Drosophila melanogaster: one gene and its partners. The protein of the gene in region 4 interacts with the protein of the main gene of each other region in a pairwise test. Each region holds a gene or a part of one and is shown on either strand. Other genes may lie near its edges. The genes, in order: CG13494, CG32638, CG17048 and Scamp.

Evidence for each region.
Region 1: the proteins of Scamp (region 4) and CG13494 interact in a two-hybrid assay, tested with the Drosophila melanogaster proteins (one large-scale study listed by BioGRID).
Region 2: the proteins of Scamp (region 4) and CG32638 interact in a two-hybrid assay, tested with the Drosophila melanogaster proteins (one large-scale study listed by BioGRID).
Region 3: the proteins of Scamp (region 4) and CG17048 interact in a two-hybrid assay, tested with the Drosophila melanogaster proteins (one large-scale study listed by BioGRID).

The regions. Positions count from the first base shown.
Region 1 is NT_033778.4:21,953,579-21,956,720, forward strand, and holds CG13494 (uncharacterized protein), read right to left. Parts: upstream 1,268-3,142; 5' UTR 1,195-1,267; coding exon 832-1,194; 3' UTR 664-831; downstream 1-663. Other genes in the region: CG43405 (uncharacterized protein), read right to left, coding at 105-374.
Region 2 is NC_004354.4:13,122,468-13,130,620, forward strand, and holds CG32638 (uncharacterized protein), read right to left. Parts: upstream 6,328-8,153; 5' UTR 5,832-6,327; coding exon 5,784-5,831; intron 3,748-5,783; coding exon 3,601-3,747; intron 1,377-3,600; coding exon 1,307-1,376; intron 1,221-1,306; coding exon 1,006-1,220; 3' UTR 409-1,005; downstream 1-408. Other genes in the region: CG42237 (uncharacterized protein), read left to right, coding at 1-142, 219-381; CG15717 (uncharacterized protein), read left to right, coding at 6,635-6,721, 6,839-7,510.
Region 3 is NT_033778.4:13,353,045-13,356,572, reverse strand, and holds CG17048 (uncharacterized protein), read left to right. Parts: upstream 1-2,073; 5' UTR 2,074-2,239; coding exon 2,240-2,530; intron 2,531-2,680; coding exon 2,681-2,764; 3' UTR 2,765-2,935; downstream 2,936-3,528.
Region 4 is NC_004354.4:15,445,431-15,451,909, forward strand, and holds Scamp (scamp), read right to left. Parts: upstream 4,454-6,479; 5' UTR 4,338-4,453; coding exon 4,275-4,337; intron 4,079-4,274; coding exon 3,851-4,078; coding exon of another isoform or gene 3,803-3,850; exon of another isoform or gene 3,429-3,802; intron 3,151-3,428; coding exon 2,949-3,150; intron 2,595-2,948; coding exon 2,465-2,594; intron 2,401-2,464; coding exon 1,992-2,400; 3' UTR 749-1,991; downstream 1-748. Other genes in the region: Ahcy (adenosylhomocysteinase), read left to right, coding at 4,961-4,985, 5,237-5,427, 5,965-6,479.

The DNA of each region.
Region 1 (3,142 bases), on a different chromosome or scaffold from region 4:
GCATTAATTTGTCGGCAAAATAATTCCTTTGGACTTCGATTCATACAAAACATATAATTTTATTAGCACAAGTTTCAGTTTTAATGACAGAATTTCAACGACAGTCAGGGTTCCCTTCCTATAAACTCGTCGCCTCGGCGTCTACAGCGAAAACAGAGAAAGGACTTCATACAACCAAAAAGGACGAGAACACCCATACAAGCACAGCAGGCAGCAATGATAAGAAAAATTACGACGAATATGAACAAAAGTCCCCAAGCACCTAGGTTAGTATCCGGGTGTCCAGTGGTTGTACGGTACGCCACAGTTGTCATGTTAAAGTCTATATATTCAATATCGTATTCAGATAGGGTTGTAGCATCCAACTCGGCCATAGCTTATGGGAAATAAATTGCAAATTTTGTTGCTTTCGATAATAGATTGAACCCTCTAAATGGAAGGAAATATGTATAAGGAAAATCACATTAAATTAACGAATGCTTCTCACCGTTCCTTGCATAGCAGCTTAAGAATTTCGATGACCCTGACCCTTCAGAAATTTTATTTTGGGTATAGATTTTTTTTTAATTTTAAGAGTACAGTCGCAGCTTACTGAAGTCGATATTTTTTTGTACTTTAAATTTGATTTTTGGTTGCCATATATTAAGTTAATAGATATCATTTCAAAATTAAGCTAGATTTTTTTATTTTTTATGAATAGACAACAATTTTGCCAATGAGCATACGGATGCTCCTAACGAATCTGTACCTGAGCACATTAAATTTATAGGCTTTCGAATCGCATATCCTAGCACTACGTACATATTAATAGAAACTTGAATTATCGCCGAATTAATCATCGTCCAAGGTGCAGTCCCCACAGCCGTCGCCACAATCGCCACACCCGCCGCCATCGCCGCAACATCCACCGCCGTCATCGCCGCAACATCCACCGCCGCCGCCTTCACCACAACATCCTTCGTCGCAAGCGAGGCACGCGGAGCAGGCGAGTCCGCAACAGCCGCACAGGCAGAGGAGCGGCAGGCAGATGATGAGCAGGCAGCAGAGGAGCACCATAACAACGATCAGGACAATAATACCGACAGCCATGCTACCCGCCTTGGCGGCCTCTGTAGTGGTGGTGGTGGCGATCGTGGTGCTCCATGAGGATGTTTCCGTCATCCCGCCTTCTACCGTTGATAATGTGTCATCCATGATTAATCACTTGTTGACGGTATTGAAATGTTTAACGTTTAGCTTATTGTAAATTAGAATAAATTACAAAAATTCAGACAGCAAAGTTGAGTGTGTATTCAAAGACTCCTTCAGCACAATTTTCATATGTGCCCACTTTCAATTTAGCATCATATTTGGTTTTAAATATATTCAAGTTCCCCATCTACGAAAGACAAAAGCAAAGAAGCTTATGGGCATAGGTGCATTCGTCACGCTTCCACACGAAGCGACTTCTAACGATCAATCGCACTTAAAATCCTTTCCACAAAAGTACTCATTAAACCCACGAACACACCACCCGTCATACAATGCCCATTCGAATTGTATAATAATTAATGAAATGCATTAACGAAAGCATTTTGCGGGTGGAACTGGGATTGGGTTGGCAGAGAGGGGTGGTCCTCGAACGGGGATCTGGGGAGCTGTCCCTGAGCTCCTGTGTGTACCTGCGCTCGTTAGCGCTCCAAACACCCACTCTGCGAAACACCCCCACTTTAACTCATATGCAAAAAACACACCCTCGCCTCACGCCATCATTATCATAATTTGAATGTGATGCGAGCTTTAAAATATTCATGCGAGTAGAAAGATTTTTTTCAAGTGTGCGCACGTGTGCGCCTGGGTTCGTTATAGGGAGCTGTTTACTGTACCAAGAGGTCGTTGATTATAATGACTGTATTTTGTGCGCTGATTACTCCACAGAGAAAATTAAGAAAATGAGTCAACAACTTAATGCAAAAAACAAAAGGAAGCTCTTCGATAAACAGCGAAATGAATATATATTTTTTCAGATATCTATCTGTTTCGTGCATAATAAATATAAACTGCGTTGGACTTCAACCATAATTAAACACTGAACATTGTGTTAAGTAACTAAAGGTTGATCAAACAACTCCTGATAATATACTCACCGGGAAAGTAAAAATCCACTTCTCGTTCTGAATCACAAATCAGTGATTGCAATTGGGAACTATTAGACACGTTTGTCGGCCAATTGGCGGTGGCAGCATTGAAAGCTCATTCAATTCACTGCCTCACACTGACACCCACACTCAGACATGCATTCACCCACACCTGCAAACTCACTCACACACACACACACATACACACCTTTAACATATAGCATCATGGCACACGTGGCTGCATGTCAAAGTGCAAAGTTTTGTGCCACAAAAAACAAGCTGCGAGGGGTGGCAATGTGGGTAATGGCAGTCAAAAGCGCCGCTTGTCGATGTTTTCTGAAAAAAGAAGGAATGAAATCGTAGGGGAAAGCAGAAAAAAGTTACGTTTTTCACGGCGTTGTTGCTGGCAACCCTTTTAGCTCTGGCAATTTAAACTCGCCCGCTCCAAAGTTGCCCACTTGCCATATCCTGTCGCAGGCGTTGTCCTTGTTGTTGCTGCGGTTGGTGCCTCCGTGTAGTTGCCGCATCCCTCGAACGGCTGAGGATCCTCAGGGGGTTAAGAGCTTTTGGCTGCGGGCTGAGGGGTAACTGCGTGGCATGCAATGCGCGATTGCACAAAGTCAACTTGCACATTAGAATTCGACGAAGGATGAGTTGCAGGGCAACGCGTTGAAAGGCGGAAGGACTAGGCTCATCTGTCTGCGATTCCATCTCGGGGTAAAACTGAATACTAAACAGGCGTCTTCACTACACTAAATATATTTTCAGAAACTATTTAAATCTAAGAAATGGATTTATAGCAAGTTAAGGCTATCTTTCCACTTGAATAGATGCGAATGTAAAGAAAATCATCTTCCGGCAAATATGACTTCCTAGTCGAAAAGTCCCAAATGGTCAGATATCCGTCCCCAATGAAAATCGTACGCAGCTGAATTTATGTGTATTCCCAACCAATCATCATCATCATCAGGAACAAACGCAATGGCAATGATCATGTTCGTATCCTGCCATCATCGCATTCATTG
Region 2 (8,153 bases), 2.3 Mb from region 4:
CCGGCGACATTGCAGAGACGTACAGCGATCTGGGCAGCGAAATGGCCATGGATCGATGCTGTCGGCAACACGATCTCTGCCCCATCAAAATCCGAGCCTATCAAAACAAATACGAACTGATGAACGATTCGCTGTACACAAAGTGAGTGCACAAATTGGTTGCAGCAGATAATCTGTTATGCCTGTTATATAATCTAATGCCTTTCCACTCTGCGTAGATCCCACTGCATTTGCGACGACATGCTGTTCTCCTGCCTGAAGATGACCAACACCTCGGCCTCGCAGCTGATGGGCTCCATCTACTTTAATCTGGTGCAGGTGCCGTGTCTGGACGGGCGGAGCAATCATTACAAGTTCCGTGCGGCCAAGGAGGGATTCTGAAGCAGGCGATCGGGGGGTTTTCTTTTTGTACAGGAGGTGGGGACGAGACGAGAGATGGGAGTCGCTCTATTTATTGTTTTACAAACGATGACGCCCGCTTTTTATTTTTCGAATATTCTGTTGGGTTTACAGTTAGCGTTAACGTTATCTAGGATAAGTATATAAAGTAGAATTGCAATCTTTGTTATACAAATACGAATATAAATATATATATATATATATATGTGTGTATCTTTAATATTTTTGATTAGCCGACTTTATTCGTTAACAATGTAAAAAAAAAGGTTTGTGTATATGGGACAAGGAAAACACGCACCTACACGTTTCTTTATGAAATTCCGATGCCGTATTTAACTACAATGCTTAACCTTAATCGTTGTCTCTCTCACAATATTGCACTAACAAAACAACGCTCAAAAAAAAAAAAAAAAAACAACACACGTTATATATATGTATGTATAAAATTTTGTTTCGCATTCAAATATTCTGATTACTTTCGGCAGCGACACTGACTAGTCAAGTCTTTCTACACATGGGTTGTCTTTGCTGTTCCATTGCGGAATCCGCTGTCTATTATCGTAGTGGTGTGTTGTCTAGGTACTTGGAAGGGTTGTCTTGGAGAGCCTAGAAAATGCTGGCCACATTCGGACCGGGCTGCGAATTGGTCGGTGTGGGCTGTGTGGGCCGATCGATGTCCTGATAGCTGCGCTGCTGGCTAGTTGGGAAGACCGATCCCGTCGGCAGTGTGCCGCCCCTCGTATTGAACTCCTTGTAGAGCAGGGCCACGCTCACCGGTCGCAGTATCAGATTGATGATGCTGAACGCAACGGCCCAGCCATCTGAAAATTAATAAGTTATTAGTATCTCATCGTTAAGCATCGATATCGTGTTCAGTGTAACGATAGGAACCGGCTGGATGACTTACTCATAATGCCGAAATGAAGAGAAATGCTGACTATATCAAAAAAAATGCTAGAAGCGTTGATGACGAGCGCCTGCAAAGAGATACGAAATGATATAACATGAGTGTGGGCGGGAAGTGATAGGTTGGGATAAAGGATACGACATACGATATAATCACGATTGAATCGTTAATGCTCAGATTTGTGTGGTTTAACTTAAGAAAAGAAAGCAGCCTTTTAGGCATTTCACGAAAATGTTTGAAAGCTGATTTTGTTGAGTTTAAATATTTTACATATGCTTCGGATGCACGTGTCCAACGCCACACGTGTCCTAATTCTGTTAATAATACGTTGGCCATTTTAAATGGTCAACATATGCTACAATTCAAGCAACCGCAACCGGGAAAATCCTTCACCCACTATGCCCAGCGCACTGCGTAGCACGATTCTTCAGGAAACTCAGCTCCAAGTTGTTGCAAACTACAATTTACATATTCGAAATTAAATAAATTATGTTCATTGATTTTTCTTTTACAGTTTGTCCAGAGTGCTGGCGAAAACGAATGGCATAGCCACTGGCTGGCCAAGGATTTGACATCGAGTTGCGTTCAACTCGGTTGACTAAGAGGCGTTGCTAATGGCTTTCGAGGAAGCAAACAAAACAAGCGCCGCCGGTTGGGAATCCTCGTTAAATGGGCATCGTAATGCCCGATTTATTAAGTACGACTCAAGGGCCTGTGGCCCAAAATGGGAATCGCGTGTAGCAGCTCCTTCAAGGAGTAAAGGTGGTAACTTCTTTGAGTAGATGGGTTGTATATGGATGGGAGTAGGCGGCATTTCGCTGGACGTGGTCACTTTTCGGTCGGTCTAAGGTCAAAGTTGAGCCATTCGCCCTCTTTACTTACGGCTAACTCATCTATAAATACACGCATACCCCCAACTTCACACGCAATTTGCCAAGCAAACCGGACTTTAATGTGGAAATATTTGTACACAATGCATTATAGATATTTGAATATATATGATATTCAATGCTATGATTATAAAAACAAAACTTGATTTCAAATATATAGTCGTAAATATATTGTAACCTTTACTTTAATTGATAAAAACTACATACAAATTATTATGTTATACAAATTTTTCGCTGTGTACATTCGACTTAAGTCCACTTTCATTAGCATACCTCCACGCGTTCAGACTCGGATTTGGTTTCGTTTTGCTTTTAGTATTTTGGCCATGCCACTTGACGGGTTGGACTCACTCGGGGGTGGAACAGAACATTAGAGATTAAAGATCGGGGCCGCGGGGAACCAGTTATGGCTCAGTTAGTCCCATAAGCGAGCAAATTGATTGGCCATAATAGCGCCACAACTTTTGGCATTCGTCGAAAGCAGAACCAGAGTTTTCCCTTCAAAGATATATATCTTTTCTGCCAGCACATATGACGAAGTCCCAATTGTAAATCATTTTGGGAAAGAATAAACCCATTGCTACTTGGATAACCCAAATGTGCTATCTTATCGTCACGAGAAGCGCTTTTTTTCAAGATTTAAGTATATATGCTTGCTTCTCATTCTTAACTTTGTGAGTTGCTAGAATTTTGCGATTCTTTCTCAAATGAAAGTAGTTTTCATGAATAACTTGCATAAATTCATTGAGTGCATCATCATCATACGAATCAATCATTGTTTTTATTGTTTTAATCTTGATTTCCTCGCTGGCACCTGATGTTCGTCGAACTATTTTAGTGAGAACATTTGTTATTTATATTTTGCATGTGTATGCTAATTGCCTACTGGCGATTTTTTTTTTTTGAACAACCGGTTTTGAACGATTTAACAAATTCCGTGGTGATATCGCTGTGAGTCGTCTAGCAGTTGATTAAAGCCTCAGTCAGCAGTGGACTCCAAAGGGAAATGCTATTCGTCTATATTGAATTAATTGGATGAACGCAGTGAACACACTGCACTATAAACATACTTATCTGTATAACAATCCTATCAACAATACTTTAATGACTCACAGAAAGCGATGAATGGAAAGCTATACGTAACTAAAGGCGTGACTACGAATGCAATCGCACTGCTACTTAAGTAAACTATATATGTAAACTATGCTATGAATTATATATCACTTTTTGTAAGCGTTCTTTAAGAAGTCTTAGCTATACTTTGTAAACCAATTTTAATAGATTGCTTGTCACAGTTGTGATACCCTCATTTGCAGGGTATGGCGAGCAAATTAAACGAATTAATTGAAGAGTCTTCTCAATTGGGAATATCAAATCTGGCACTTATCAATCGATCGCACTCACCGTTTGAATCGCTTCGACGGAGTCCTTGCTGTGCATCGACCAGAACATGGCGATCAGGAATAGAAAGTTGTAGAATTCATACGCCCCGTGGCCCCAACTGCCAAGCATGGCATTCGAGATGAAGAAGAAGTGCACAAAGGCCACAAGCTGTAAGATATATGTAATGTAGAAGCAAAGGGGAAAATGAGAAAATGCAAAGGGAGAACTACTACAAACTACATTTGGTTATATATGGTTATATGGTCATATCTGGTTAACACATAAGCATAATCATAAGCGGTTTAGTGCCAAGTGAAGCCCCACGAATCTGGCGGCGAAGTTGCCAATTGTAGTTACTAGCATCGTATCGGTTGTCATTTGCGGTTAACTACTTGGGGTGCTAATCACACAGCGACTGGCCATTAACCCATGGAGGCCCAACAAGTGAGAGTCGTACAGCAGCGTTAACCGCAATAGGTATCTTTTCAGTTTTTTTAAGATAACTTGGCCAAAAATTGTGCAATTTGTACAAATTAAACTGTTTTGAGCAGCTATTTATCATTGCTAACGATTCCCATCACTTTTTGAAGGATTTAGGGAAATTAATTTTTGGGTCAATTTTTTGCATTTTTTGTAAGGGGTAACATCATCAAAATTTGCAAAAAAATCGCGAAAAAATAGAATCCTTATTTTTGAACAAAGTTGGATTGGAAATTAAATTACGAGCTCAACGAGGTATAACATTCCATATTCAGACAATTATTTTAAAAGTTGTGGTAAAAAAAACGGATTATTTATTGACCGAAATTCGAAAAAAACGGGTTTTGCCAAAAAAGTGATTTTACAAACGGAACTTTTCGTCATAACTTCTCTAAAATTTGTCATATAGATAAAAGAATTACCTTTTTGAGCAGCTATTTACCAATACTAACGACGCCAATCATTTTTTGAAGGATTTAGAAAAATTAATTTTTGGGTCAATTTTCGCATTTTTTTGTAAGGGGTAACATCATCAAAATTTGCAAAAAATGGCGAAAAAATAGAATTCTTATATTTGGACACAGTTTAATTGGAAATTTAATTACGAGCTCATTGAGGTATGACATTTCATATTCAGGCAATTAATTTGAAAGTTGTGGCAAAAAAACGGATTTTTTGATCACATAAATTCGGAAAAACAGCTTTTGCCAAAAACGTAATATTTACAAATGGAATTTTTGTCATAAATACGCTAAAAATTGTTATATAGATGAAAAAATAACTGTTTTGAGCAGCAAATTACCAAGGCTAACGTTCCCTATCATTTTCATCGAAGAATTAAGGAAATTTTTGAATACAGTTCGATTTGGTATTTAATAACGAACACAACGAGGCATCTCATTTTATATTTGGACCATTATTTATAATGTTATGGTAAAAAAAACGGATTGTATTATGATAGAAATAACAATATTTATTCTTGGACAGAAAACTGCACAATTGGAAAATGTTTTTAGTGAAACGATGTAATTAGTTTATAAGGTTTTCCCGTAAGCTGTAAATTTCGCTCAAGCAGTTTTATTTCGCCCACACAAGTTGCATTAGTCCAGCTGTACATACAATGTCATTTATGTGTATTTTTTACTTATACATATAACGATGGCATTAATTTACTTATTTTCGTTCTACAACAAGTAATTTATATTTGCCGATATATGTATGTATATGTAGCTATATCCACTTTGAATGCAAAATAAGCATCCAAACACATGTAAGTAAATTTCCAAAAAAAGTTTTTATCTACTTTTCATGGCTTTTATTCCTTAAAAAACAAACACGTATGTTTCATACGCCCAGTTTAATTTTTTGACCGCTTCCGTAAAATTCTTTATCTGTTTCTTCTGTTTATGTGTGCCACCCAGCCAGTTGAACCGCCCTGCTGTTAATATTTTGACCGCAGCTGTACCATATGTTATCTATTTACCCTGTTTATTCTTTCCCCTAATTTAAATGAGACTTTTTCATTTATTCAGAATTTTTATCTGTTTCTTTGTTTTTTTTTTTTTGTCATGAGTTATGAGTTTTCCTAGTCGCCCATTGCTATTTTTATGGCTGCAATTGTTTGTTGGATAAGATGAGGGGGGTGAGTGCAGTGCACTGCTTGCTGGCCAGTGCAGTGCAATAGCGGCATCTCGTCTCCCGCATCGCATGCACTGCTTGCTTACCTTCACACGCACAAAAGGGGATCCCATCAGCTCGTTGAGGTCGGTCATGATGATGTCGCTCTCCTGCTCCTTCTCGCTCGCACTCAAATGCAGTTATTGCAGCGGCTACCGCTCTCTCACTCCCACTCCTGCTGCTGCCACACGCGGCGCAGACAACAACAACAATAAAACACAAAAAAAAATGAGTCGCACAGCTGTTTTGTTATTTTCGTGTGCAACAATTTGCTGAAATCGTTCCACTTTGCGTCTATTTTCACTTGCAATTCACTTTCAATTGGTGCTAAAAGCGCAATAGCTTCACTGTATGAGTGTATCTGTGTGCGTCTGTGCGTGTGTGTGTGTGTGCGCGCACTTGTTGGTCTTCTTTCGTTCTCCAAATGTTCTTGTTGTTGCTGCTGCAATATTTGGCAATCGCTGTTGTTGTTGCTGCCTTTGCACGGGGGCGTCAACAATGAACGGCGAATAACGAGTGATGTCAACAACTATTAGCTAGCCGGGGGCAAAAGTGTTATTTTCTTTTATACGCTGGAAGGCGTCAGCGCAGCAACACGACCAATTGCAATTTAAATTAAAATTGTGATGTGTGGGCCAATGTGACCGGTCGCTGTTCCGCTTATACATGCCAGTTATTATTTCGGTGTGACCGTAGCTATAAAATGCGACAGGCCGTGTTAAATACTGAATAATACCAATAACTGGTATTTTAGTTTATCAGCGATCTTCCTTCTCTGCATGTGAATGTGTGTGTGCGTGTGTGTCTGTTTATGTGCGTGTGTGTATGTTTGCGTGAGCCGCTGATAACGCAGCTGATCGGGCGATTCCATTGAATTCAAGTTTTCAATTCGCAGAGCATGGCCAGCAACTTCACCCAGTCCCAGCCGTCCAGGATCACCAGCTACATGGTCAACCAGCTGCAGCCGACGGCGCAGGAAACGAAGGTCAGTCAGACAATATCGGACATAACCTTGATCTCCTTGGCACACGGATTGTGTCTCAGTGAGATTATCGGAGCACCTACATACATATGTTAAATTCAAAAATGTATCTACTTGCAGTTGGCGCTGATTCCCAGTGCACCCCAGTGGCGCTCCCCCCAGCTGATGGTCGTCTTCGAGGACGGTGATCTGCACTCAGCGCGCCACCAGTTGCTCCAGTCCCTGCAGAATCCCTTTGCCGAGGGATCGGTGGCCACGTTGCTACTCCAGGAGAGCATTGCCGATCAGTTTGTGGGCCTAGTGGCGCAGGATTTGCGTCCGTTGTCGCAGGAGGTGTCCAAGCATCCGAGCTACACCAGCACGCTGGCCAAGATCGAAGAGCTGAAGGCCAAGACAGTACAAGGCGAAAGCCTTAAGGCTGGGGAATCACCCGTCTTGGTGTACGACTGCGTGCACAGCTATCTGGGCAATGGAGCGACGGGAGTGGTGACGGTGCACACATTCCGCACAGCCAAGGAGGCCGGCCAGTTGGCCAAAAGGGATCCCCTACCTTACGGCCAAGTTAGTCTGTGGAATGAGAAGCTGGGCTGCGCCTACGAACTGATACCACGACTACCGAGCGATATTGTGGCCATTAATTGCTTCAATCCGGACTTGGATCCCATCTGGGAATCCTTTGCTGCCGACCGCAACGATGTTCTGCTGGCCAAGAACTATCACTATGAATCGCTGGTGGTGAGCGGCAAACGGAGGATCGTCGTCTTTCCCGTGGGCACCATCTTCGGCAACTGAAGAGTGACAGTTCTGGACTTCGACGGCGACGAATCACATCCGGAAGGAATTACATCCAGGTGCTTTTTAAGCCATACTTTAAAATACCTCTCTAAGCATTTTACATGTAGCTTGGGGCATCCTTTTCGACAGTTCAATTGGAATTATATCGAACTAAATTAGGAGTTATGTCAAACAACTAGCATTTAATGTGGCTTAACTTAGAAATTATCTGATTTTGCAACCATCATAATATTCCAATTGTATTGCGAAAAGGTCCTTGAGTCTGAATTGTTTTTTTGATACTCTGTCAATAATTGTCCACTGAAAAATCATCAGCCAACTTTTATGCATCTGTGGGAATTTGGGGTAGGTCCACGAATCTCTGCATGCAACAGGCATTTTTTCAGGACATGCGCAAGTGCTGCTCCAGAAATAGAAATCCTGCAAAGCAGTTTAAATGGAAGCAGTTGAAGGGCACACTCATACACTTGGGGCCAAAATAATAGCGCTCATTTTAGTAAACTTAACATACTATGAAGTAAATGAACCATTTAACTGATAAACTGGTAATGATTTCAATGAAAATTTTTAAAAGAACATTTTGTTTTGTGCGAGCTACGCAGCGATCGATCAACTTAACCCTTTATCTTATCTATTTCAT
Region 3 (3,528 bases), on a different chromosome or scaffold from region 4:
TTGCAACACCTACAAATGCAATTTTCATAATTCACTACAATTTACTAGACATTTCTGCTAATTAGTCGCAGCTACATTTCGTTTCAGGCAATCGTAGGCAAGGCACAAGGTGCACAACTTTGGCTAATTGCAAAATAAGCAGGCTCTCATTAAATTAGAGAATATTGCCAGAGAAATCGCCTCGAGGCGGAAATCTGGACAGGCAACATCCGTTTCCGCTTCCGTTTCGTTTCCGTTCCCGTTCTGCAGCTAAAACATTAACCCACTAATGCCAGTTGGGCCCCAGCTCGACTCCATGATTCATTCGGTGTCACGTTAACCCATTAAGCCATAGATACAGTTGTTTGTCGGTCGGTGTCCTTGTTTTGCGGTCTAAATGCACAAAAAGCTTAGCATAAATGAGCTCTGCTCTGCTGTGTTTCGCTGTCGGTCCGCGTTTCCGGTAACAAAGCTCATTAGCGAGAGTAGCAATGGCAACGAGTGCAGCGTCATCTAGCGGAAACTCGGGGGTACTATTGCCCAAAGGATTTACCCGAAAATAGAAGGAACAAAAAAGCGAACAGTTTTGCAAGTATTAAATCAGAACGAAGACTTGTCAGATTTCTATACAGCTCTAATTAAGTTGCCGTTCTCAGGAATGACTGTGCGAGAATTGCTCTGAGTATATTTGGTTTTATGGTTATTCTACTTTATTACTACAACTTGGACCTATTAGGATCTGTTGTTTAAGTGGCTTTGGTTTGCTTCCATTTAAGTTTCAGTTCGAATCGTAGTTGCCATTAATATTCATGGGTTGTAAATATTTTAGAAACTTAAATTGCTTTGCTTATTTATATAAGTTTCATTCAAAAGAACACAATTTTGATTCTATCAATACTGTTGGATCTTTTATGGCCGATTTCTTATTGACAAATTTTCTTCACATTTTTCATGTAGTATTTATTTTAAAAGTTCTCTTAGTTCTTACGTTGCTTCCACCAACATTTGCCTTGATTTCCTTTTAATTCTTTAGGCAAATAATAACAAAACGAATCTAAAGATAAAGTTCAGAGCCCGCCTCATTGCTAAGTTTTCCAGATTGATGCCGTTTGTCTTTGGGCGTCTTTCCCGACTTTTCCGCATTTTCCGGCTTTTCTGACTTTTCCGACTGACTGTATGGATTTGAGTACCTGCTCGCAGAAGTGGAGCATCAGGAAATGGGGAAAGTTGGCAAGTGGGTGGGGCTGGTCTGTAGATGTGTCTTAACAATTGCTCGGGCATCTATAAACATAATTAAAGAAACTCTGGCAAATTAATTCGAGTTGAGAATTTAACAATTTGCCGAGCAAAACTTTTCCCCACCGAACAATAAACAATCAAGTTGGCTTCAATGGCGACTGGCAACTGGAACTGGCAACTTTTTAATCAAGTTGAGGATGCAAATGCCGGATAGTTGGTTTATATGGCCACCTAATTGGCCGGCGTTAATAATATGTGCTTGTTACCGACTGTTAAATTGCAGAGCAACTGACGCCAGTGATTCAATTTGTCAGCTGCTTGTTGGGACGTCCTTCGTCCTGCGAGGGATGGGTTTCTTGTCCTCGACTGATGTGACTTTTAGTGCCGGGCTTAATTAAAAACCCTGTTGGAGTAATCGCCGGCGTCTTGTCATTTAGCTTCCTCGCTCCTTGCAAGTAGTTGCAAAGTTCGATTTTTGTCGTCTGCGTCTGCGGTCGTTTGCCCCAAAGTGCAAAGCGTTGTCCTCCGTAAAAATCAGCCAAAGGATGAGCCGAGCCACGCGACACATGGCTTCCACTTCAGCTCATGCCATCCCATGCCATCCAATCCAAGCCCATACCATGCCATCTCATCCCATCCCGGCCAGACTCTCTTCTAATTGAGTTGTACAAGTCGACTACTAATTGCATTCGATGCCTGGCGCTCGGCGTTGATATAATTAAATTTTATTGGCCGGCGAAGAAGCTTAAGGTGTTTTCCGGTCAGATTTATCGTCGTTCATTTTAATTAAAGTTTAATCGTGGCGGCGCCCGCTTTGCCCCACCTGTCAATCCCTTTTTCCGGCATGGGGGTGTTATCTAAATTTTTAGTTCTACAAAAATAACCACCCAACTGAAATCACATAAATAAATTGAAAACAAAATACCCAGACACGAAGACACTATTACACGATCGCCACATATACAATACATTGAAAGACATAACATTTAGAAGACTAGACATAGAGAATCGAACGGGCATAATGGTACAGCAGGGCCTCGATGCGACGAACTTTGGTCTGCGGAGCGACTACTCCAGTGAGAACGGCGATCATCCATCGTTGTTCGATACGATTAAGGATGGGGATCAGCCGGATATGTGTGCCTTTTGCCTGGATCGCATACAGAATCCAGAGAAGCTGCACTGCAATCATGCGTTCTGCAAAAGCTGTTTAGCACTGTACAGGGAAGCTCGCAACTGGGTGGCCAAGCGTTGCCCAATCTGTCGGAGCAGCCTGGACATGGATGGCCAGGTGTCCAGGCAGTTCCACGATGTAAGTGCTCCATGGGTAACTTTTCGTAGCACTATCAAGTGACTACTAATTAGTAGTGGCGGATGTGAAAGCATTACACTTAAACTTAAACGTTAAAAGATGTGTCCAATGACAAGAAAGTACCTATCCTAATCCCTTGATCTCCTCCAGAACTGGCGTCTATTTGGTATTATGATGGTACCGCTGATGGTGCTCAGTCTGGGCCCCTTTTATTTGCTGTTGCTTTACTGGTGAATTCGTTTACGAAATATGTATATTTGTATTAAGATAGATCTATGCAAACTTGTCAGTGGATTTTAATTAAACGAAAAAGACATAAAATGCGACTGGAATGTGCTTTGTTCTGGCTCGTCCTTTGTCCTTTGACCACCTTAATGAGTTTTTAGCCAACAAGATAGATAAGCGTTTTCTTAGAAAAGCTGCTTGAATGGTGGAAGCCCAAGTTGCTGGTATCACGATTGCTCATACGCCCTGTGGTCGCCATGCCCCCATTTTAGCCACGTTTTAATTCAATTTTATGCGCCAATAAACTGATTTGGCTGCTTGCACAAAAAGTGCTGCCACGCATGCATATTGCACCGAAAGGAAAATAAATCGATGCTGAATCAGCCCTTTGCCATACATATACCAATATATCTCGATATCCACGAATACCAATATTTTGTGGGCCCTTATTTGTGTTTATTTTGATGCTGTAAATCAAAATGTAGCTCGCAAAAAAGTTGTTTATATTATACAAATATTGTTGCACTTTAAAATGACCAACAAGTAAATATTGGAAAATGTGAATATTAAATGTTTATTGGCCAACACATGGATCAGTTGATACCCTTTGCGGTCTGCAGCTTGTCACTTGGTTTTTGTATTTAATTGAAACTATTTTAAGTTGAAATATTCTTGTGTGACAAATGTTATTGGATACTTTGGAGTGTTTAAATGAGATTTCTGTGCAAAGATTTAAGTTTATAAATTCTTTAAAGAAATCTTAAATATCTAGC
Region 4 (6,479 bases):
ATGTCTAGCACACATATTTCATGGCTGAGTGTGTACGCCCCGTTGTTGATTTAATTCCACATTTGCCAAATAAAATTTGCATCTTTCGTTGACAAACATCACACTTATGGGCATACCAAATCCGATTCCATGCCCCAAAATCAATCCGAGATGGCCTTACAAGATGTGGGCGTGTATGTGGGCATCGCTCTAATGCGACGTGGGTGCAGTAACTATGCATTTCCAGGAACATTCACTTTCGACCATGTTCAATCGTCTTAATTACCGACTGGCTTACGTAAACTTTTCTTCTTGCTAATTGATTTTCCATCGAATGAGTTCTCGAAATCAAAGGTCTTCGTGCACTTTTAAATGACATTGTACATTTCCTCTTAATTAAGAGTCGATTATGGCGGTAATCCGAACTATTTGCCAGTCATTTTGTGGGGTTTTCAATTTTATTGGAATTTATTTATACAAAACAAACTCAAGATTAAAATCTATAAGCAAACTGACTAATATAAACACAAGCATTGATGGCAGTTCTATCTATTATATAAATTGTGTAAATACCTCCATGCAGATAACCAGCAGTAATAAACCAAGAATTTAAGCCTGATTATTGCGTTTCAAGGCTGGGATTTGCAGATAAATAATATGAATATCTCAAAAGTCTTTATACCCCTTTAATTACGCACCAAATTATGCATTTGAATTCTCTAGAAATGAGTACCAAACAACCCATAAATTCAAAATCAATGCTTATTGTACATCTATAAGTATTTTATATTTATTTTGGAATTTATCATAAATTTTGCTTGAATTTTAAATACACATCCATAGATCGTCATTAGCTATTCTCAATTCAGTTTTAAATAGGTCGTAACATAATAAGTTTGACTTGCAAGCAAAACAGAAACGAACAAAATGTATCTAAAAAATGTGAATACTTAAGTGAATCAATATATTTTATATGCTGTCTTCATGTACATAGATAATAGATAATATATAACAATTACGATTACAAAAAAACACGACATTTTATGTGAGTGCAGGACAGTGACGGCGGAAAAAGGGGGTCGGGACATGGAACAGGGGGGAGGGAGGAGAGGGGGACAGTGGAGCAGTGGGCGTAGGAGCACAGCTTGGATGAAAAATGAATTTCGCTTTCTTGTTGTCTCTCTGGTCGAGGCGACGAGAGATAAAGTTCTATAATGTAAGCGTTAAATATATTATTTATATTATGTTTGTTATATATATAAGATCGTATATATGTGAGTGTGTGTGTGTGTGTGTGTTGCGTGTGCGAGGGAGTGGGGTTATTCCTATATCGTTTTAATGACTTAAAGAACTAGAAAACATCATCATCAGCAGCAGCAGCAGCAGCATCATCGTCATCAGTGTCATCCCTTTCGCCTGATTAATCTGGGTTAGTATCAGAATCGAATTATTCCACAGGACAGAGACAGACACACAATAATTTAGTCTAGATACTTGTATTTGGAGGCATATATCGTGCGATTAAGATGTCCTGTCTACTTGATCCGCTGCAGCTGCGTGTCGAAGGCATCGTGGGCCGCTTTAGTTTTCCTTTTGTTTTTTTGTTTTCTCCTTTTTGTTTGGTTTTTTTTTCACTTTCAGTTTAGTTCCAAGTTCGGTTTTGTTCCGTTTATAAATATTGTTTATGCATTGTGTGTTGTTTCTGTGTTATCATTACAGTAATTATTTGTAATAAAGACGACGGCATTCTAGGAATTGTTTATGCACAAAAGCAAATAGTTATTAGTTCCATGCTCCAATGCTAGCTTTAGTTTCATGTTTTTCTTTACTTTCATTTCGTGTTAAGCTATTTCAATGTTTATTAAGTGTTCTTTCTCCATCTCCCTCTCTCTGGCGCGGCTATCATCATCTTTTTCTGTCCCAGTTAAGCAGGATGAGTGCTGCTTGAGTTCGTGGTTGATTGATTGATTCTCCTTTTGATTTGATTAGATCCCCGGAAAGCAGAGTGTCACTTAGTACCTGCTGTTGTTAAACTGCGAATTGATGGCCGTATTAACGGCCGAGGAGGCTGCTTCCTGGACGTGCTGGTTGCGCAGAAACTCGGTGGTGAACTCCGCCTGGGCCTTGGCCATACTGGCCCCTGTGCTGCGGTAGATCGAGTGAATCTTTGTGATCATCAGCACATTGGCCACGGCCACCGCTGTGAAACAGAATGCCACGTTCAACAGCAGAATGCCGACGATAATACCCGACGCTTGCCCATCGAACTGCCCGATGGCCGTAATAAAGCCACAGTAGCCCATCTTGTTGAAGCCCACCGCCTGCACAATCGAGTACAGCGTTTGAAAGAAGTAGATGAAGAAGAAGACCATGAAGTTGAAGCTCGAATCGTTGCGGAATGCCTTGTACGCCGGTCGGAACCTGAAAATTAATCACACATCATCACATTATTCATGTTTTAAGAATCTTCCAGGTATAAACTCACCAGCAGACATAGGAGGCGGGCGAGAAGAGCATCGTGTAGAAGATGGCCAGGAAGAAGGTCTCGAATTCGCCAGCGTGGAACAGCAAAATTAGACCGCCTATCACGTTGGCCAACAACGTCATGGTGTAAACTGTCGGAGAAAGTATTCAAAATAGACACATACAATCAGCATAATGCTATAATCTGTAGGGGAAAGCATTATTATATACTATATACTATGCATGCAGTAAATAATGCTAGAAATGCATTTAAAAACTATCTTAATACTGATAACATGTAAATCAAACAAATTTCATGCTCCCCTCTTTGCAAGCATATTCTGCACAAAGGCACGCACACATCCAAGACCATTAGCCATTCAGCTATATCTGATTAATAATGGCATCGGCCTGTAGACGACACGCGATGACTAATTCCACAACCTATGGCACCGCTTATCAGCGAAAACATGTAGAAAACACAGCCATAAAGAACCAATACTCACAAATCCAAATGTAATACAATCGCTTGACCAGTTTCTGGAACTCGGGCGGTATCTCCACCTCGAAGTCCTGGTAGAAGCACGGCTTTACACAAAAGTTATCCGGCAGCGGTGGCCAGTTGTTCAGCTGCGGCACATTGCCCTGTAGCTGCTGCTCGCGGCGGTCCAGTTCGGCGGCCTTGCGGTCCAACTCCTCCTGCCGGCGCTGGATACAATGAAAATCATATGATTATCGACTGTTTTATATATACATTTTGTATGACTTAATAAATTGGCCGTATATGGTAAATACTTTAAATCTTATTCATTTACATATTTGGGAAAACAAAGGCGAAATTCAATGATAGGAATTCACATCCAAATCTTGAGTTTGTTAAACTTCTATCTTAACCTCAGGCATTTGGCCTATCTATAGGAAATATTCTGTACAAGAATAAAGTGCAAACTTAAGCCTCCAAATCATATGTATTTAGATCTACTAACTAGTATTTCTTGAATTATTGTGTAGGGCCGAAGAAGCCAAGTAAATCAAGAGAAACCGCAGTTTGCACAGTGAAGACTCGGCGCGGCAGCCGCTTCTAGTCTCAACCAGATAAATGCTCCAAAGCGGATATATCGTTGGCAGATCGAGATAAGCCCGCTTATCTTTCTGACTCTTGATGGAGAGTAAAATGTGATATGCCTGCCCTAATCCCGGCACTCTAGCAAAGTGATTACTGTACAGACTTTTAGGGCAAACTTTTAGTGTAACTGTGTGGTGTGGTCCATTTCGATTGTTTCCGAGTATTTGGATGTACATATGCGGTTTTTGGAGTATTGCGGATGTGGCCATGCCGGCACAGCACACCGCAGAGTGCTCACTGTTGTGTGGGCGGTAACGCGAGACGACCGGCCAAGTGGGTTACCTGCAGCTCCTCCGAGGTGATCTGTATGCTGGTGCTAGGCGCCGAGGCGCCCAGGGAACTGGTCTGCGGGGGCGGAATGTTCTGCGATAGCGGCTGGACCACCGCCGCCGTGTTCGTTGAGTTGATCTGCAGCTGCGGCTTGGCCTGCTCCTCGAATGGATTGTAATCCTCAAGAGAGACAAGGGCGGCGCCGCTCTGGAGTCGTCGTGCCTGCTGGATGGCGGGGTCCTGCGGGGGAAAACCGGGAAATCCCAATCAGAAACCAATTCATTCAACATATGTGACGAATGCACCCAACACACACACACACTACACTCACAGGCACGCACACCAACACCCCACCTTTGCGTACGTGTGCGTGTGTGTGCGATGGGTTTTTTCTTCGGCTTCCGCGCTCTCTCTCCTAGCTCTTCTATCGCCTCACCGCAAACGGATTGTCCAGATTGGGCTCCCCGAAGGGATTCTCGTCGAGACCGGAGCCGGACATGGGAATTCTACTTTGGATACGGCTGTTCAATGACCAGAAAAACGCACTGACTCGCACTTTGCTTTTCGCTGTGTATATTTTCCCTAAGACTCTGCTCAGTTATCGATGTCGGTTTTAGTGATGGTTCAGCATCGATAAGCTTTCGTTGGGAATCAAAGTGTAGGCCTCAAATATCGAAAGAATTACTTTAAAGAATTAATGTTATTTGAATTACATATTAAATTCATTTTGGCAGAAAAACTTATTATTTAACACATTTAACATTAATCTAGAATTCTGAAAAATGTGAATAACTGGTATACAATGGTCTGATTTTTTAGGACCTATTAATACATTTTATTAAAATGATAGCAAAAAGAAAAGATTCTATATACAATTGGATGTAAACCAGCAGTTATCATATGAATTTTAAATTTAAATGGCAACAATCGTGCCAATCGGAACTGCTCCAGCTGAACCAGCTGCGTGGAACCAGTTCCCATCCCTGGGGCCGCCATTCCGCAATTGGAATTCTAGTGTCTTGGGTTGCGATTCGATTCATTTACCGCTGCCCGCGTCTCCAATTCGGTTGTGTGCGATTCTGTCTGCTCCGCATCCAAGTCAAACATCCAATCCTTGCAAGAATGTCGAAGCCCAGCTACAAAGTCGGTGAGTTGCGTTATAAATAAACCCAAACGGATGGCAAACTCTCGAATCGAATCTCCGGCCGGCAACAGGCGACATGTGCGGGTGAATTGCATCTATTCATGAGCACATGTTTCTGAGGTTAAAAGAGAGACAAAACAGAGGAGAGCACGTTGTTGCTGGGGCAAAAAACGTAGAAATTCAGACCGTATGGTGTATAAATCAACAGTGCCTGCTTATCTGACCCTATCTCCCTTTTATATCCCACTCGACAGCCGATATCAGTCTGGCGGAATGGGGACGCAAGGCGATCATTATTGCGGAGAACGAGATGCCCGGTCTGATGGCCTGCAGGAAGAAGTACGGCCCATCTAAGCCCCTCAAGGGCGCCCGCATCACCGGCTGCCTGCACATGACCGTCCAGACCGCCGTGCTCATCGAGACCCTCGTCGAACTGGGCGCTCAGGTGGGTTCAGTGCCTCTTTGGCGCTCTAAATGATTTTATGCATCGTACCACCATTCGAATTGTATGCCCAACTGTAGGTCTGAACAGTCGGGATAATACACAAAGATAGCATCATTTCAATACTAAAAACCATTTCAAAAACCATAAAACCGACCAAAATTCCGTAAGGAAATTGTAAATTAGGTAGAAAGATAGGTATCTCCAAGCATTGTCCAAGGGCTGGTCCCTTATCACCTTTGGTTTACGCACCAATTTGAATAACAAAACTTTCGTTTAACAGCAGGGGGGCAAGTTCAAGGCGCCCAAGATAAGACCTCCAGATTGTTATTTCCTCTGACGCAGCACCATCTGCTTCAATCCTCGCACATGGCAACTATTTTCTGCCAAATGCTGATGTCCTGAAATACATAGATTTCCTGATATAGATCAATCCTATATGCAATGCAAATCAGTTTGCAAATATCTATATAATTTAGGTTCCTTCCCATCCACATCTCAACTTCAACGCATGAACTACATTTTCATTCTTTTATCCAGGTCCAATGGTCCAGCTGCAACATCTTCAGCACCCAGGATAATGCTGCCGCGGCCATCGCTGCCACCGGCGTGCCCGTGTACGCCTGGAAGGGTGAGACCGATGAGGAGTACATGTGGTGCATCGAGCAGACCTTGGTCTTCCCCGACGGCCAGCCCCTGAACATGATCCTGGACGATGGCGGCGATCTGACCAACCTGGTGCACGAAAAGTTCCCCCAGTATCTGAAAAACATCAAGGGCCTCAGCGAGGAGACGACCACCGGTGTCCACAACCTGTACAAGATGTTCAAGGAGGGTCGTCTTGGCGTACCGGCCATCAATGTCAACGATTCGGTGACCAAGAGCAAGTTTGACAATCTGTATGGCTGCCGCGAGTCGCTGATCGATGGCATCAAGCGGGCCACGGACGTCATGATCGCTGGAAAGGTCTGCTGCGTGGCCGGATACGGTGATGTGGGCAAGGGCTGTGCCCAGGCACTGAAAGGATTCGGTGGTCGGGTGATCGTCACCGAGGT